Linked DNA regions of Saccharomyces cerevisiae S288C. The protein of the gene in region 2 binds, or shares a complex with, the protein of the main gene of each other region. Each region holds a gene or a part of one and is shown on either strand. Other genes may lie near its edges. A codon is read from its position in the direction of its gene.

The links.
Region 1: the proteins of CHS5 (region 2) and CHS6 are in contact, whole or in part, in a crystal structure (PDB 4YG8), measured with the Saccharomyces cerevisiae proteins. Residues at the interface, in NP_013434.1 of Saccharomyces cerevisiae: Glu56 (codon at 3,765), Gln59 (codon at 3,756), Arg60 (codon at 3,753), Phe63 (codon at 3,744), Lys64 (codon at 3,741), Ile66 (codon at 3,735), Gln67 (codon at 3,732), Lys69 (codon at 3,726), Ile70 (codon at 3,723), Leu71 (codon at 3,720), Lys73 (codon at 3,714), Tyr74 (codon at 3,711), Gly75 (codon at 3,708), Thr76 (codon at 3,705), His77 (codon at 3,702); in NP_012436.1 of Saccharomyces cerevisiae: Glu301 (codon at 2,726), Leu302 (codon at 2,723), Ile305 (codon at 2,714), Thr306 (codon at 2,711), Asn309 (codon at 2,702), Leu312 (codon at 2,693), Asp313 (codon at 2,690), Leu316 (codon at 2,681), Asn320 (codon at 2,669), Met336 (codon at 2,621), Leu340 (codon at 2,609), Gln343 (codon at 2,600), Phe346 (codon at 2,591), Leu347 (codon at 2,588), Arg350 (codon at 2,579), Asp352 (codon at 2,573), Leu355 (codon at 2,564), Gly358 (codon at 2,555), Val359 (codon at 2,552), Thr362 (codon at 2,543), Glu365 (codon at 2,534).
Region 3: the proteins of CHS5 (region 2) and BCH1 are in contact, whole or in part, in a crystal structure (PDB 4Q66), measured with the Saccharomyces cerevisiae proteins. Residues at the interface, in NP_013434.1 of Saccharomyces cerevisiae: Ala15 (codon at 3,888), Ser16 (codon at 3,885), Gln59 (codon at 3,756), His62 (codon at 3,747), Phe63 (codon at 3,744), Lys64 (codon at 3,741), Ile66 (codon at 3,735), Gln67 (codon at 3,732), Ala68 (codon at 3,729), Lys69 (codon at 3,726), Ile70 (codon at 3,723), Leu71 (codon at 3,720), Lys73 (codon at 3,714), Tyr74 (codon at 3,711), Gly75 (codon at 3,708), Thr76 (codon at 3,705), His77 (codon at 3,702), Lys78 (codon at 3,699), Pro79 (codon at 3,696), Ser105 (codon at 3,618), Ala106 (codon at 3,615), Lys107 (codon at 3,612), Lys109 (codon at 3,606), Ser110 (codon at 3,603), Pro124 (codon at 3,561), Asn125 (codon at 3,558), Phe127 (codon at 3,552), Lys128 (codon at 3,549), Thr151 (codon at 3,480), Thr152 (codon at 3,477); in NP_013964.1 of Saccharomyces cerevisiae: Asp314 (codon at 2,621), Leu315 (codon at 2,618), Glu316 (codon at 2,615), Ile317 (codon at 2,612), Asp318 (codon at 2,609), Val320 (codon at 2,603), Asp321 (codon at 2,600), Asn324 (codon at 2,591), Leu327 (codon at 2,582), Asn328 (codon at 2,579), Lys348 (codon at 2,519), Leu352 (codon at 2,507), Gln355 (codon at 2,498), Leu359 (codon at 2,486), Lys363 (codon at 2,474), Asp365 (codon at 2,468), Leu368 (codon at 2,459), Glu371 (codon at 2,450), Val372 (codon at 2,447), Glu375 (codon at 2,438), Val505 (codon at 2,048), Lys533 (codon at 1,964), Arg534 (codon at 1,961), Leu535 (codon at 1,958), Arg626 (codon at 1,685), Arg627 (codon at 1,682), Ser629 (codon at 1,676), Val630 (codon at 1,673), Ser638 (codon at 1,649), Ile641 (codon at 1,640).

Annotation. Positions count from the first base shown.
Region 1 is NC_001142.9:237,078-243,039, reverse strand, and holds CHS6 (Chs6p), read right to left. Parts: upstream 3,627-5,962; coding exon 1,386-3,626; downstream 1-1,385. Other genes in the region: SAP185 (Sap185p), read right to left, coding at 1-958; 1-phosphatidylinositol 4-kinase LSB6, read right to left, coding at 3,954-5,777. UniProt on the Saccharomyces cerevisiae protein: Member of the CHS5-ARF1P-binding proteins (CHAPS) which mediates export of specific cargo proteins, including chitin synthase CHS3.
Region 2 is NC_001144.5:785,747-791,593, reverse strand, and holds CHS5 (Chs5p), read right to left. Parts: upstream 3,931-5,847; coding exon 1,915-3,930; downstream 1-1,914. Other genes in the region: MID2 (Mid2p), read right to left, coding at 1-918; JIP3 (Jip3p), read left to right, coding at 548-925; REC102 (Rec102p), read right to left, coding at 4,261-4,881, 4,979-5,152; nicotinamide-nucleotide adenylyltransferase NMA1, read right to left, coding at 5,476-5,847. UniProt on the Saccharomyces cerevisiae protein: Component of the CHS5/6 complex which mediates export of specific cargo proteins, including chitin synthase CHS3. Also involved in targeting FUS1 to sites of polarized growth.
Region 3 is NC_001145.3:741,383-747,308, reverse strand, and holds BCH1 (exomer complex subunit), read right to left. Parts: upstream 3,561-5,926; coding exon 1,386-3,560; downstream 1-1,385. Other genes in the region: DFG5 (putative mannan endo-1,6-alpha-mannosidase), read right to left, coding at 1-956; TAF9 (chromatin modification protein), read right to left, coding at 3,865-4,338; GTPase-activating protein RNA1, read left to right, coding at 4,574-5,797. UniProt on the Saccharomyces cerevisiae protein: Member of the CHS5-ARF1P-binding proteins (CHAPS) which mediates export of specific cargo proteins, including chitin synthase CHS3.

The DNA.
Region 1 (5,962 bases), on a different chromosome or scaffold from region 2:
TCTGTTTTTTAAACAGTTGTATAACTCCATTTGATATTTCTGGCTTATCGGTCGATATTACTTTTAATAAAAAATCCATCAAAGGCGGATTATCTATATGTGCTAAAAAATCGTCAACAATGTGTTCCTTTTTTAATATGAATTCAATTATTCCGTCCATATTCATATCCAAGAGGCGTTCGTTTATTTTCATAAAATATGTTGACGCTTCAATTGACAATGGAGAAGGTAGCCTGAGGATCGACCAAAGCTTAGCGAGAAGTCCTTCGTTTTCAATCAAAGCAGATGATATGGGCCACACGTCAGCGGACAATATTTCGGCCGCTATTCTGGCTCTTCGCGTATCATCATGTTCCTCTAGTTCATGAGGTAGAGTGACTCTAGTATCCTCAGATGCACTATCATTTTCTTCATTTTCCAGTTCCTCTTCTTCACCACTACGAGTACGTTCTTTTTCTTCAAAAGTACCATCAATGTTTTTCTTATCTGCTTTAGCATTCTCAAAGTCCTCCGTTGTGTCCTTGTCTTCACCACGTACTAAATCTCTGTCTTCTGAAGTAACTCTATCAATATTGGACTCAAGTATGGTACTATTTCTGACATAATCTATCAATTTGGACAAAACTTCAGGGTACTTCAAGTACACTAGTAGCTTGAAGTTCGAGCACATCAGTTCTGTATATAACTCCTCATCATCTAAAAGATCATTCAGTAGAGACAGGTTTGGCTTATAAGCTTTGTAGTCTTCTTCTCTGTTAGGCAGCTCATATTCTTCTTCTTCGTCTTCTGATTTAAAAGAATTGCTTTCTAAACTTTCATCTGTGCTATTAGAGTCAATTTTCCCTGCTTCCGTACTAGTGGGCTTATCATCGATCTTAATGAAAGCCCTGTTCAACAGTTTAGCTAATGGAGACTGTGAACCAAAATCTTGTCCAAACTTCCAAAAGGACCCTGACATATTTTTTCCTAATTATTAAATGGGCAAAACGATAAACGCCACTATTCTTAAACACTAACTAAAACGAATTTTTCAGAATCTCTAATCAACTAAAATTAGCATGTATTACCTCAAGCTAAAAATATTTAAAGATCTTAGTAAAATATATCTTTTGCGTACCTTTCCCAAATACACAAGCTAAACTACCCTTATCAAGCAGATCTGGTGAAATTTTAAACAAAAATAGTCCCGTTCGATGACTTCGAGCGATGCCCAAGCTTTTCTCATTCTCTTCGGAGTGTTTTGGCGTTAGCCGTCAATCCCTCGCAAAAAAAATTTTCTTCCCAGTTCAAAATGTAAAAAAAAAAATAAAAGGTATACGGTTACCCTTACCCTCAGTCCATCCAACCGTAGTGGTTATATAATAATACTAAGAGCACCGTTTTGTTCAAGGTTGTACTGTGTGATCTAGGTCGGCTATCCACGCAAGCATGGCATCGATCATGACCATGATTTCGTCTCCTATGGAAGGTTGAAGAAGGATCTTATTACGCAGTATATGCGTCCCCAATTCGTTGCATAGCTTTTCTAGCAGTTGCAGATTAAATATCTGGCAATAATTATAATACCTGCAATCATATGATATTTTCTTAATTAATAAACTTATTATGGTATCTGTGTCTAGTAATGTAACCTCTTGAATATTTTTTGGAGGTTGCAGGTATATTTTTAGCAGCTGCTGGCAACTTACGGGGTCGAATCGAGCTACTATGCTTGTTCTTAGACAAGCTACGGCATCTTCCCAATGCCAGGTACGCAGCATGATCAAACCCAAAAGTTCCCACTCTAATCCGCTGTGTTTTTCATCTTTATTGCTTAGGCTAATCTTGCTCAATTTCAAGTCTTGATATAAATCTAAAAATAAATCATCTAGCCACCCTTCACAAAACCTTTTCTTTCGGGATTCCATCGGTATATGACCGTTTTCATCGATAATGTTGTTAGAAGCTTGATAGAATTCAGTTTCCATCATGAAAGCTTCTGTTCGGATGTTTAATAAGCCATTCCAACCAATTTTGTTCACAATTTCCATTAATAACCCATATATTTTACCACTAAACCATCCCAATTGTTTGCCGATCGTATTCCTTGCTATTAAATTGATATTTTTTATGTTTTTGACCTCTTGAGGGGAGACATAATTAATCAGATTCACAGATTGTGGACCACAAATCGGACCCAACTTTATCGCAATATCATCCCAGATTTCCTTTGTATAACCGATTTTTTTTTCGTTTATCATTGCGATTCTTCCAAAAATTTGCCGTTTTAACTCATCCTCTTTCCAATTCCTCAACGTTCCCGAGAGATTCGTGAATTCCATTGCAGTCAAGTCGTAGTGTTCGCGGGTACCATTCAATGGCTTTTTATAATAATTGGAGGTAAGAAACCTACTGTACATTGTTTCCAGGTGTCCATCATTTTTGCGCAAACGAGGCATTGAATTTATTGCGAAGAGAGCCTTTTCATACTCCTCTTTTTTGATGTGGCATCTCGCTAGGTTGTACCAAGATTCAAAAGAGTCTAAGGCTAGTTCGGTTGATGTGTTAGAGACGCCTAATGCTAGTTCGTAATCACCCCTGTTTAACAAAAAATTTGTTTGAATGTTCAGCAAGTCACTCATGCAATTCATTAATCGTGCTGAATCAGCATCGCGAGGCGGTAAATCATTTAGCAGAGATAAAAGGGGGTCGAGCGTCTCATTTAAAATAGTTATCATGTCTAACTCCTTTGTTTCTATGTGATCTAGAATTGTGATCATAGCCGTCTTGTAGTATATGTCATGGATTGGATCTTTCTTGGTAAGTCCTTTCAGGTAGTCGATTGTAAAATCCACTAGGCTTGGCGTGATTGCAATAAAACTTTTTAAACTATACATTAAATAGTTATTGACAATGGTGGCTTGCATACTCTTGGTAGAATCCCACCCGCAATTCAGTGACCGTGGTAAGAATCGGCAGAGTAATTCTATGATCTTTTTGCAAGAGGAGATAGTATCTTTTCCAACGTAGAATGGACACTCTACTAAACCGGGAGGTTTTAACTCTGGATTAGTATTTGTTATTATCGCTCGGATGACAGAACTTGCGAACGTTTCTTCCCACATTTTTTCTGTCATGGTCAGGTCAGTGGTTTCCTTGTTACAGTCAATTGCCGTTGTCTGGAAAGTATCGTCAGCATCGTATCTAATACGGATGTCTAGATTGCTGAAAAAATTAAAACAGCAATAAGTCAATATGATATTATTCGATATATTTTTGGAAATCCGCTTACTCGATTTTAGCACTTCAAGAAACTCTACGGGCATTGCAGGACCGGAAACTTCGATCCCTGTAACGTAGAAATATTCACCAAACTCTTCTTTTTCATGTTTGTTTAAGTAGGACATGTGAACAATCTCAATGGGACCTAGTCCAACATTGCCAGAAGAAATTAAATCCTTGATTAAATGCGTTCTATTGTGCAGACACTCACCAAACTGCCTTTCCATAATTCGTGGACAACTTTTAAATATGTCTCGATTGAGGAATTGATAACCCTTTTGTACTGAAGGTGAGTTCCCAGGTGTATAATCGCCACCAGGTATTTCATTTTGCTTTTTGGTTTCCGATGGCCAAAACAAATTCATAAGGGCAATAGATGTAATCCTTTTTTGCACCAACAGCTTAAGAAAGGTGTTTGCTTTTAATGTGAGTTAAGTAATGTAATGATTTGTTAAGATCCTCTATTCCTTTTTGAGTATCTATTTATTTTCCTAAATTCTTCAAGGCTATTTTTACCATGAATCCGCTAAGATCTGTTTGGGTTCCGATTTTTCGAAGACACACAAAAATAATAGCCGGTTGCTTTCTAACACTACAGAAAGAGGTTTTTTCGAAAGAGTCTATTTCCTATATGCTAAAGTAGAGTTATGATTTCTTTATATTGAGTATGTATTGAATTATTTTCCAAAAAATCAACACCAGGTGAATACGGGGGTGGAATTGACTATTTGTAGCCGCTCTGCTATCACTGTTTTATTAGCAAATGGGTGCAGAGTGGAATCATAGTATACAGGATTACTATTGCTTTGGTTATGTGCATGAAATGGAATTGTGCTTGGGGTGCTAGGGAGTACCATTGGTGAAGTGGAATATGATCCAATAGGTTCGTCTATGGCGTTTTTGAAAATAGAAACTGGAGGTGGGCAACAGGGAACTTGCATCTTCTCATCTATTACCTGGCACCTTGTCCTTCTAACCAATTCCAAGGGGCCTTGTCGTGGGTCTTTCAATGTTTCGACAACGTTGAACGCCTGTCCTTTTAATACTGCCCATTGCTTCTTCCACATTCGGACGTTAAAATCTTGGTCCCTGCTAAATAGGGCCAAGAATTCTTGGTACGACTCTTCCCACCAATTAGTGCTTGTCAATATCGGTAGGAAATGAGATCTCATTTGCTCAGAAAATGGTTTGGCTAGTAGTTGCAGAGGCAAATACAACCAGCCATATGGGTACAGACGCCACTCATCAGGATGCTTCCAGGGAAAGGACAACCCATTGTCGATGGCGGCTAACTTGAGTCTCCACTTATTGTTTGAAAGTTTGATTAGTTTCACCATCCAATTGTCTAGACCTCTATCTGTGTTTCTCATTATATAATCAAGGATAATTAGTTTTTCTAGTTCCAATCTGAACTGACTCAAACTTGATTCTGTCCATTCAAATTTCGAATTTTCTTCAGATTCCGTCGAAATTGGAGAGGAATTTATTTGCTTGGACGGTTCTGTCTCATCTGTTAGGTTCCTGGTTGTCTCTGGTTTATGATTGATATCTTCGCCGGATGACTTACGATGAAATGAATGTTTAACATCTGAATACATCCCAGGTAATGGGTATTTATGAAAGAACTCATCGGCGTTGATGTACTCCTTCAAAAAAAGTTGGAAAGAACCCAGCTTTTTTTGTTTCTTCTTCTGAAGGTTGTATCCCAATACCCATTTTTTTCTATTATCATAAAAATTAAAAGACTCTATAGATGCAGTATCTGTATAGGGTACTAGATGCGTTTCCAGTCGCCTATCCAACAAACTAGCCGCACTTTCACAGATGTACCCGAGGTTTGGAATCAGACAACTTCTGCCAAACAGACATGGGAAAAACGTGCGGTGTGCCCATTTGGTCCATTTGGGAGAAAATGGGCCATATGGTTCCTCATCCTTGGGCTTGAAGACCCCCACCGGAACGCTTTCGTCGGCCCGTGTTCCATACACAAAGTACGACCCACTTGAGCCAGTTTGGATTCTCTCGAGTTCGCGTCCAAATGTCTCTACAGCCTCAATACAGTCAGAAACCAAATGGTTGAAGTTTTCCCTCTGTTCTTGTTCTTCTTTTCTTCGGAGCTGCTCATATGCTAGGCCCTTGGTTGGATATGCATGCAGCGGACGAAATACCGAATATTGAATCTCATATTGACTTCCTTCTTCTTCTTGCCCTGACGCTTTGTCCTCTGCATTATGAAGCAGTCCAACGGCAGGATTGGACCCTGAAGTCTGATCAGGTCGCGGGCTCTCGGACGGTACGTTGACCAGAGATTGATAGGAAGGGTGGAATACCTGAGGGGCCTCCGCTATGTCTGAATTCTGTGCATTCGAACCGACCCCTGGAGAAGCGTGCGTTATCGGGTTCTTACTTTTACAGTGATCTTGCTCATCACGGAACTGTAACCAATCGTAGCTGTTCACAACTATCTTCTGGTGAGGATTTACGGTATGATCATGCTGGTAAGCTTCGTTACTCATGCTTTGGTTGGCTTCTTGAAAGTGTCTAGTTCACTTTATGCCCGGTTATAAACATAAACTTTCACAGGGTTCTCTTTGATCACCTCTTTGTTTAATCTTATGAATCCAAGGGATTTTATCGGTCAAAGGGGAAATCAATGCGAAAGACAGTAATGATGAGAGAAAAACTCTCCGTAACCACCAAG
Region 2 (5,847 bases):
GTCTAAACCACCTGCGGACGATGCACTACCACCTAATGGTGAATCGGAGTGGTATTCATCACTAACTTTCTTACCCAAAAGCATATACCACCATTTCGTAAATTTGTTAGCTCTATATGCCGTAACGACCTTACCATCTGAGTCAATAAAGTCCGTCCTTGATGATTGGATACAAAACATGTAAATTAAAGCCAGTATCACCAGAATCAGTGGTACACCAATACCAACCACACAACCAATGACGATGTTTCTATTTTTTTTAGAAAGACCCGAACTTTTGGATTTATTGCTTGAATCAGCGGTTGCTGATGGTGTGTACGTAACGGTAGTATAATGATTTGAGAGAATCGTCTTACCGTTAATAATACTGGTGATAGTGCTTCCTTGATTATAGGCAGTAGTGGATGGTGTGGAGGAGGTTGAAGGTGCAGAAGTGATTGTTGATGGGGATGATGAAGAGGACGGCGTTGACGACAGTGAGGATGAAGATGATGTTGACGTTTGCGTAGAAGACGTCGATGATTCAGAAGTTGCGGATGTCGAAGAGATGGAAAAGGATGAGGAGGATGAAGAATCTGAAGAAGCAGAGGAAGAGCTGCTGGTGCTTGAATCTGATGAGAAACTGAATGATGTGAACGATATGGAGGCAATGCTGGTAGACGAACTCGTATGTGACACGAGGGACCTACTTGATGTCGATGAAGTAAGGGAAGATGAGTCAGCACTTGAGGAAGAAACCATACTGGATGACAAAATGGAACTTGAAGAACTAACTCTACTTACGGAAGAACGTGCAGTAGATACTGCTGAAGAATTCGAAGATGATGATTGCACGAAAAATTGTGCGCGTATCGTCGATATGCATGACAGTATTAAAAGTAATAAGCGGAAACTATTCTTGGTTGTGAAAGACAACATACTATGATTTGCGTATTTTATATGTCCAATCTTCAACGAAAGTAGCGAAATAATGGTACTATTTGTTCAACGAGAGTAAAAATATAGTATGTCTTTGAGGCAGAGGCGTCTTCGTGAATCTAGAATGTGTTTAGGGATAGTTGTATTCTTTTCTAGCCTACCTAAAACGCAAAGTCAGCTTTAAATTATTTTTCAAATTCGCAATATAAATGTATACCTTCCTTATAAGACTTATAACGGAAAATATGAAGAATCAGAAAAAAATGGTCCACTGTACTCGTAACTTAATTTGAAAGCCTTGAATGGTGAGTTTGGTAAGTAAATGAAACTAGAAAATAATATGGGGATGATCTGAAACCAACTTGGTTATTGGAAAGTTGTGCTAAACCAAACACAGGAAAAAAGAGTGTAAAAACTGGGGTGATGTCTTTATGTTCTTTATGACTTTGTTAATTTGCAGATTATGAAAGCAAAACGGCAAAAATAACGGGTAAAGATTGATTCAAATCTGAAACAGCAAATTCATTTACCATCCCATCTAACGGTGCTCCTTCTGAATGGCCCAATGCAAACTCCTACAAAAAAATTGCCATTTTTTTGCACAGACCACGCCGCTCAGCCTCGAGAAACATTCCTCGCGGCATTTCCGTGAGATCTCTCAATTAATTTCTTTTTTTAGATTTTTTTCCGTTTTCCGTTTGAATAATTTCGCGTTTTCGTAGAGCGCGACGGCCTATAAATAGACAGATTTTGAATTTCCTTTTCGGGCTTTTAAGATTCACTCCCCAATTTTTAATAACGGACATTTCGTGCTTGGCGGCTACTGAGTACCCCTCTCAAGAAAATGAAGTGATCGCCAAAGCAGTTATCATATTTGTAACTAGTTATACATGCTTACATATACACAGATATATAAAAAATAGATTATATTTGCTGAGGGATTCTCAGTCGAAAAAATAAACGTGCGTCGTGGAACTCATTGAAGGCATCCATTAATCATTTCTTTTTCCCTTTCTTCTTATTCTTCTTATTCTTCTTCTTATTACTGTTGCTGTTGCCAGTATTTTTTTTAGCTTCTTTAGTGGACAAAACGTCATCTGTATTTACTTCGGCTTCCGTTGTCTCTTGTTCTTCCGTGACGGCACTGCTTTCAAGAGAAGCAGAGGCCTCAGTTTTTTGGTGGGTAGTACTCTCACCAGAGGCAGCCTCCTTGGAAACGTTGTTGATATCGTCTTCTGCCTCTGAACCTTTTTCTTCTGGTTTTACATCTTCATTGGATGGCTCGACTGCAACACTTTCGGTAGCATCTTTAGGTTCGGCTTCAAGTTCTATATCTTCTTCTTGATGTCTTGGAGAGGCAATGTCGGTAGTAAACTCGTTGGTTTCTTGTACGGGTTCACCGGCATCCTCCACAGGTTCACTGGTATCTTCCACAGGTTCATTGGCATCCTCCACAGGTTTGTTGGAATCCTCCACAGGTTTGTTGGAATCCTCCACAGGTTTGTTGGAATCCTCCACAGGTTTGTTGGAATCCTTCACAGGTTTGTTGGAATCCTCCACAGGTTCATTGGAATCCTCCGCAGGTTCATTGGCATCTTCTATAGACTCATTTACTTCTGGAGTTTCAATTTCAGCTTCTGGACGTCCAAATTCCATTGCTGCATCATCTGCAGGTTCGTTATTTTCCCCTGCACTTTCTGTGGTTATGTTGTTTTCAGCTACTTCTTCAGTCTGTACAAATCCATTATCAGCTTGTTCGTTAGAATGTGTATCGGTATCCTCACTTTTCTGTCCCGTTGCTTCTTCATTTGGAGAACTTTCAGCCACAGCTTCATTCGGTTCTTCTACCACGGCTTCTGCGGAAGAGTCCGCTTTGTTTTCCTCTATATTGGGAGTACCAACAGGTTCGCTTTTCAAACTTCTTACGGAGGGGTTGACGGTTTCGATGGTGGTTTCATTCTCCAAAGCCGTCGAAGCATGCAATGGATCTTCTACAGGACTTACTGGGGCAGTTTCATGTCCACTCTTTTCTCCTTGTTCCTTAGCTTCTGAAGGATTACTCTCATTGTCATTAGGTGATGCAACCTGTTCGACATCTGTTGTGTCCTCGGGCATCTTATTTTCATCCGCTACTTCGGCTACCGGCTCATTCTCCTTTGAGTACGAAAGTTCTTCCTCATTAACTGGTGGGAATGTGTAGTTTTTCAGTATACTTTGATCTGCATCTAAGTAAAATCCTCTAACACCAACGATTCTTTTCTCAACCTCACAAGCTCTCACCCATTCCGGTCTGACAATTGGTATGTTGTTATGTTTTGCCCTTATAAGCTCTTCATTGCTTTCTTCATTGTCTAGATCGTTACAGACAAAATGCGTAGTATCTATCGCAACATGACGTTGTAAAGGTCTCGCCCCGATGTGAGACAAACATTGGGATATCTGTAAGTCTGAAATTTCTTTCAATGGATCCAATGGACCCAAACATACAGTGATACCAGACATGTCAGTCATCTTATGTGTACGCAATATAACCTTTTCAGACCATAATGTTCCTGACGTGGTTATCAGTTTCAATTGAAATTCGTATGGCGTATCAACGGAAAGACCGGATATTTTCGTGGTAGTCACTTTGAATGGATTTGGAATTACCATTGAACGTATTCCCTTCCTATAAAGGATCAGTGATTTCAATTTTGCTGAGCCAAGTTTCAATGGATCCCATGCTAGAACACAGCTCGTTTGCGTAACGTTAACAATTTTCAAAACTGGGCTCTCCGGTTTATGGGTACCATACTTCTCCAAAATTTTGGCTTGTATACTCTTAAAATGATTCCTTTGTTTTTTTTCCTCCTCTAAATTTTGTGAAACTTGCATTTTTATGATAGATCCAGCTTTAACATTTTCTGGTAATAATACTGTAGGAAACTCAATAACATGATGATCCTGAGTAGTCAGTAACGCCAATGAGGCATCCAACTTACCTACTGTTAACAGTACATCAACTGAAGACATTATTCGCTACTCGACCAGGTTCTAAAACGGAAACGTAACATGCAAGCTAAACCGCGATAACATTTAGCATCTACGCAATAAATAATGAGGCTTTAGAAAGGAGAACTTGAAGGGCCGACCGAACTTGTTAAAAAAGAAGTGCAGCTACATAATTTCCGTCTTAAGTGACATCTTTTTAGTGGTCGACTCGAGGCTACTGGAAGCAATAAGATAAGGATATGGCAATAGCTTATAAACGGTATCATATGAACATAAAGCGCATTGCATAACTATTGTTAACTAAAATTTTAATTGCCCAAAAGTATTTGATTAAATTATATTTTATGCATGCTACTTATTGTACGTTACAGCCGGTAAGGAAAAAATTTGAAAATTCTGAATTGGAGGACCTCTTCTTCGACACAGAATTTGATACGCGGTTGTTGAAGATTTGTCTTGGGCAATCATGTTAAGCATTATTGGAAGAAGTACTGAATTGCTCGTTAGGGCGTAGGATATCGGAGCGAGCGAACTTTGTTGCCACTTCAATCGGAGCCTTGAAATCATGGAGAAGACCATCGGGTATTCAAATTCCAATTGAGACACTATTAAAGAGGAAAAATATTCATTAAAATGAGGAATAACCTGGCTTATTTCGACATAGTTTCCCTCTTTAGAAAAAAAATTGACAGTTGTTGATAACTCGGAAAGGTAATAGATTTCAGGATATCCTTTGGCATGCGTATGAAGCTCTCTGGGTTTGCTTATGAACGTACTTATCTGAGCATCCGTTAAAATTGTACATTTTAAACTGAGAATGACGTGGTTTTCTATGGTGCTTACATCTTGAACTTGATAAAACAGTTGTTCCTCCCAAAAGCGAATACTTGAACCTACAATCTCGCGCAATTTTGTAAACAACTCTTGCTCTTCCGTAACTAATCGATCGTTCATTTTAAAATTCAGTTTAATCTTCACTTTTCCTGGTACGAGTGACAAAGCTACCAGTTATTATAGTTAGTAACGCTTCATTCACGGATGGGTTTTAATTTTGCTAGGAGAAACATACTTTCAACATTCCAGGTGGTAGCAGTGGAATATATAATGAATTAGAGTCGGTTGATTCCGGTCCCTCAATGCGTACGGTTGAAGTCCAAGCAGATAACAATTTTCCTGCCTCATCATTATTTACAGCGCCACAACTTTCTAAAAATACGGTCAAAAATGTGATATCTCTTGCCATTAGATTAAATTTTGAAATGTTGGAATCCAATGGTGAACTAACGTGCTGTTGCGCTTATTTCTTACTGTTTGTTTTCCTTCCATTTTTTATATTTGGTATAACCGCTGAAGGTTATAGAAATTAGCTCTTTAAGAGAAAAAGGCGAAAAAATTAGTGTAAAAGTGAATTATACTACAGAAAAAAAAACTATACTAAAACACAGATAGGTAAGTCATATGTCACATTTCTACTCGCTTGTACCCTCCAATTAATTCCTGTAGGGGAAAATTGGAAATTGTAAAGAGAAAGATGAAAGAAAGAACGAAGCAATTCCGGACGGCAAATCATTCTTTGTTTCCAAGAACTTGCTTAACAGGTTCGGTTTGGTCCACATATAGTCTATGTTCTTGGATATACCTGATGACCGAATTAGGTAACAAATATTGTACAGACATGGCGCGTCTGATAAATAGACGAACTTTCGTGGAAGAAATATCATTATAGATGAGTTGCTTGATGATAAGAATATTCCTTCTATGTTCATACATAATATCATGGGATAACAAAAAAGACCTTACATCAGAACCAGTACGTTCGACAATCAAACAACCGTAATTACCGAGAATGTGATGTAAATCGGCGTCCGCCCAAACGTTTGGTTCACCCATTGACTCTATTAGGTCACCACCAGCCAGCAACATTATTTTCACACCAAT
Region 3 (5,926 bases), on a different chromosome or scaffold from region 2:
CTTTTGAATGTTCTTTGATCGGTGTTACAGGTGCCATAGTCTTGACAAGCGCTTTCGTACATAATACTATCTTTGAAGAAATAAGATTTAGCACCATTTAGAATTTTTGTCAAACTGGTCTCCCATTCACCTGTTCCATTTGTAGCATTATACATGTATGCAAGACCACCAAGCACGATACCGTGATTATAAGTCCATTCAATTTTTGTAATATCAGTGCAATTTGTATCAATTTCAGCACCATCAAAGACATTTGCAGTATCGTTAAGAACCACATACCCGACATCCACTAGCCAGTCGAAAACCTGTTCAGCAACCTCCAAATATGTAGTGTTACCAGTATATCTGCCCAACCTCGCCGCAATCTGGAACAAACATGCATTTGAAACTGTATTTTTATAATTATAACCACTATTCCAAGTGAAAATTTGCCATCTCAGACCACCGCCACAGTGCTCTGAATCCCATCTTGAGTACATGGTGTTGAAAACAGCTTGTACCATTGCCAACCAACCTGGCTTGCCGTCACCGGGGTCTGTAAAATTTCTCTCGACAGCACCCATAACAGTAATACCCCAAATACCTTGGTCATCATTCCCCTCAACCATCGTTTGGTTGGACGGGATATAATCGTAATTGGAACCAGTTTGCGCTAATAGTGCATCGTATAGTAATTCTTGATATGTATCATTCTCACAAAGAAACCAATTTTCCAACATGCCACCAAATGCTTCCCCTGCATGCCACCAATAGTATGGTGACTGAAACATCCCAACGGTACCACCGTATCTAGTACCCTCATAGTAATCCAGCATACCACCTTGAATTAACGCTGTCGCATCACAAATTGACGTTTTGCTAGTAGTATCCAAATCCATGGCATGAGTGGCTTTAAAAAATGACAGAAACGTAAAGCATATCGATAAGATCATCTTCGCACTAATATTGACGATCATATCTGCGTTCTGGATATGATTTCGTTCTAATTTGTTCGTCCTATATAACAACCAAAAATTAATAAAGGTGATTCAAAATGAGATAAAGGACAATGTACACAGTCAATTACTTAATTAGATATTTGAGTAAAGCTGATCTTTTGGAGAAATGGGCTTTTCATTAATTTACATTCTATTTTTGGGTTATACTCAGTTTCGCTTTACGCGGATTACATTGTTTTTTTTTCGGGCGTGGCTCAGATTGTGAAAAAGAAATTAAACAATTTAAGATTACGGTTATCGCATTAGAGGCAGAATAACTTGAAAATGGGAAATTCCCCAAGAAGGTGACCTATACATGACAATGCCAGGATATCATACATAAAATACATAACCCGTTTCTTGTTAATTGATTTCTTTCACCTTTTTATTGATTGTATTCATCTTTTTCTAATTATCGAAAGTGTCATTCGTGAAATTCTTCAGAAAATTTAGAATGTTATCGTCAATCAATTGGGCTACTGGGTCAGAAAATCTAGAGGCAATTTCATTATGTACTTTAGTAATGCCCATATCTTGTACTGCAACACTCAGAGCATCTATTAATATTATTGAGAACTCGATGTACCAACGATGATTCCAGCAACAAATCTTGACTACTAGATCGATGATTGAGCTGTCGATGTCATTGATACTTGACAATATTTGAGAAGAGGTTAACTCGGAGTTTGCTGAGACTGAATCCCTCCTAATACGCTTATGCTCGTCAATGTAAAACTGTAATAGATTCTTTGCGCATACTGGAGAAAATCTTTGGGAAAGCCCAATTTGGAAAGCCTTCGCAGCTTCTGGAAGATGTCCCAGTCTTTTCGCACAAAGGCCGAATAATTCCCATTCAACAGTTAATTTGTGATATTTACTGTTTTGAGCATCAAAATACAATTGCTCTGATTGCCAATCGGTGTAAGTTTTCAAATCTTCGTATAGTAACATGAAGAGATTATCCAACCATCTTTCGCATAGCCTCTTTGATCTCATTTTGGATATATCATTACCGCGAACTTCTGCTTCATCAATGGAAGAAGTGGAGCCTTGGTACTCGTCTTCCATAACGAAAATTTTTGATCTATATTTCAACAGCTGCTCCCATCCTGTTATTTGGACAATTTCTGTCAATAATTTATAGGCTAGTTGGAAAGTAGACTTTAAACTTGACGCAGAGAGATTGACTAGGTTTGGATCTGCGGACTTTTGCTCCAACTGGACATCCATGGGGTTCAATGACGAAATCTCCTCAATTGAGGCATCCAATGGTAATGGCAGATGAAGATTTTCATCTGAAGTAATAGGCGCAATTCTTCTAAGAACGTATTTTTCCTTAACCTGTGACATGGGGCAGGCGTTTAACGATAGCAAGGCATTTGACATATCGTTTAGTTTAATGTATATTCTAGTCAATAAATACCAAGTTTTAAATTCGTTTGGTGCACAGTTAACAGCCTCCATGGCTACTTCCTTAGCAAGCTTGTAATCTCTCTTGACATCCAGTAAGAATTCACTTTGAATACTTAATAATTCGGATTTGAAGATTAGCTGGATATGGCTAGTCTTTGAATCGTCGGCTAAGAACGAAGAGGGGGAATTTAGTTGCTCGTTGATCAGGTCAACTGCATCTATCTCTAAATCGCACGCAAAATAAACACGAATTAATATTATTACTGCTTCTGGATGAATTTCTATTAACTTCTTGAGCATTTTACGACATGCTTCCAAACTCTTAGTTAACCTAACTATTTCCACTAAAGTTTCCACTAAATAATTATTGGTTAACGAGGGATTTAAAACGTGAGTAGGTGCATCTAAATAAACACCTTTTTCATAGACCAAGGGGAACAGTTTAATAAAGTTATTGGCAACATCTTCCAACTCACCCGAGGTAAATGGATTGAAAATTAGTGTTTCTACCAAATTCTGGGATTCTCCATCCGCACGATTATCTTTCATAATCATAATGTCACGTACAATACCACTCATAAACGTTTCCGCCCAAATCATGTTGACGTTTAAATCCTGTGAGTTGCGGCCAGATGACGCTTCTGCCACGGAGGGAAGTTGCGATTGTTCACCGTCGCTATTTATAATGTAGGTTTGCACAGTTCCTGGAATGTGAACTATAATGTTAACATCATATTTCCTAAACGCATTCCAAGAACTGATAGAAATCTTCGATACGTGAAAGTGCTTCTTCTTACCAAACCAAATTTGGGGCGTGTCTAAGAAAAGATCGGTTATCTTTTTGGCAAAGATTGTAATAGAAGTTGGATCCGAAGTATCGATACCCATACAGTAAAAGAAAGTGCCGATCTGCCCCTTTAATTTGTCATGGGAATGTAACTCCGTAACTATGGTCGTAGGATCTTGTCCATTGATGTTTGAAGTTGCTCCGTTATCGTTGGCGGAGGCAGTAGCAGTTGTTGTGCTCGAGGATGAAGGTAACGATTTGATCAAAGTAATTAAATCAGGCGGACCCAAGTCTTGGAATTGTCCCACTCTGGCTCTCCTCTGGTGTAGCGCATAGCCTATCACGTCTTCTTTCACTTCCGGTATGGAGGTTTGAGACAACATGGTTAGGACTTCAAGTTTTCAGTTTATCCTTTTCACGTTCTAAAAATCAATACAGCGCGGAAAGTGCTCTCAAGAAGATGAATTGAGATGTTTAAGGGTCCATTTGTTACTACATTATCGTGTAGATCTCATTTCTCTAACTTTCCATGTAGGAAAGGGCAGGCAGGAAAAAGAACATTAGAGAACATGATCACGATACACGACTAGCGCATTATTTAGTGTATATTACTCTATTATGCATTCTACATGACGCATCTTCCGGAAGAACTTGATTTAGTGTACTTATGATATATAAGCGGTGCATTCACATAGACTTTGGGTCCTCAAGGTCCCACTCCTTCGCTGTGAGACAATATTTTTCTGGGGGAAGCCTGACACCCCACGTACCCATCACTTGAGGTAATGCCTTCTTGTTTCTTTCCGCAGCTAACTGTAACATGAGCTCCTTAGGTGCCGTAGGCTTAAATTGGTATTGTGTTCTCGCTGCAATGGCAAGCCGTATGTCTTCTACTCCTAATCCACTGCCGGCAGAATTTCCACTGCCAGCGTAGTCGTTGTAAACCAACGCGTCCTTAAGGACTCCTTGTGTGTACCTATGTGCAAAATCCATCAATTGTAGCGGTACTTGGTCCTCATATTGATGAATCGACTGTGATGCGAGGAGCAGATGCAAAAGACGGACATCTCGTGGCGTTTCCTCTTGTGTTGAGTCCGGACCAACTTCTGATACTGAGCCCACTGAGTTTTTATTCAAAACATTCTTGCCTCCGCCGTTCATAATGGTCTGTGAAGTCCTCTAGTCTTTTCTTGTTGTCGTGTTGTTTCATAATGTCAAATTCTACTTTTGATTTAAAGCTCTTAGTTTGGTCATGGAATGCATGTCACTATGCACGTTGTGGGACAATTAATGGAAAAAAATTTATTAGGAAGATATTGATCAAAGGCATAATATCACGGTAAAAGGTGAATATAGGCCATTTTAACAGGCTGTCTTTCGAAACAGATTTTTAGCTATGGCTACCTTGCACTTCGTTCCTCAGCACGAGGAAGAACAAGTTTACTCCATCTCTGGGAAGGCACTCAAGTTAACAACCAGTGACGATATCAAACCATACCTGGAAGAATTGGCAGCTTTGAAAACCTGTACCAAATTAGACCTTTCAGGGAATACAATCGGTACTGAAGCTTCGGAAGCATTAGCTAAATGCATCGCTGAAAATACACAGGTCAGGGAATCTTTGGTTGAAGTAAATTTTGCTGACTTATACACTTCGAGGTTGGTTGACGAAGTCGTTGATTCGTTGAAGTTTTTATTGCCTGTTCTGTTGAAATGTCCTCACTTGGAGATTGTGAACCTTTCTGATAATGCGTTTGGGCTAAGAACAATCGAGTTACTAGAAGATTACATTGCACATGCCGTGAATATCAAACATTTGATCTTAAGTAACAATGGTATGGGCCCTTTTGCTGGTGAAAGGATTGGTAAGGCCCTATTTCATCTCGCTCAAAATAAGAAAGCTGCTTCCAAACCATTTTTGGAAACTTTTATCTGTGGTAGAAATAGATTAGAGAATGGATCCGCAGTCTACTTAGCTCTGGGTTTGAAAAGCCACTCCGAAGGTTTGAAAGTCGTAAAGCTGTACCAAAATGGTATTAGGCCTAAAGGTGTCGCCACGCTAATTCATTACGGTTTACAGTACTTGAAAAACTTGGAAATCTTGGATCTTCAAGACAATACTTTCACGAAACATGCTTCTTTGATCCTTGCTAAGGCCTTGCCTACATGGAAGGATAGTTTATTTGAATTGAATTTGAACGACTGTCTTTTGAAAACTGCTGGTTCAGATGAAGTCTTTAAAGTATTCACCGAAGTTAAATTCCCCAATTTGCATGTCTTGAAATTCGAATATAATGAAATGGCTCAAGAAACCATTGAAGTATCCTTCTTACCGGCTATGGAAAAGGGAAATTTACCTGAATTGGAAAAGCTAGAAATAAATGGTAACAGATTAGATGAAGATTCTGATGCTTTAGATTTGCTCCAAAGCAAATTTGATGATTTAGAGGTTGACGATTTTGAAGAGGTCGATAGTGAAGATGAGGAAGGCGAGGACGAGGAAGACGAGGACGAGGATGAAAAACTCGAAGAAATTGAAACGGAAAGGCTTGAAAAGGAACTGCTAGAAGTACAAGTAGATGATCTTGCTGAACGTTTAGCTGAAACTGAAATCAAATAGCTATGAATAAAAGTAAAAATAAACACAATCAACTGTGGACGAGGTTCAGGCAAATATCATGGTGACACGCTTATAGATAGTTATCGGGTAAGTTAAAAAACCAAATAGCTGATGTATGTATATGTATGC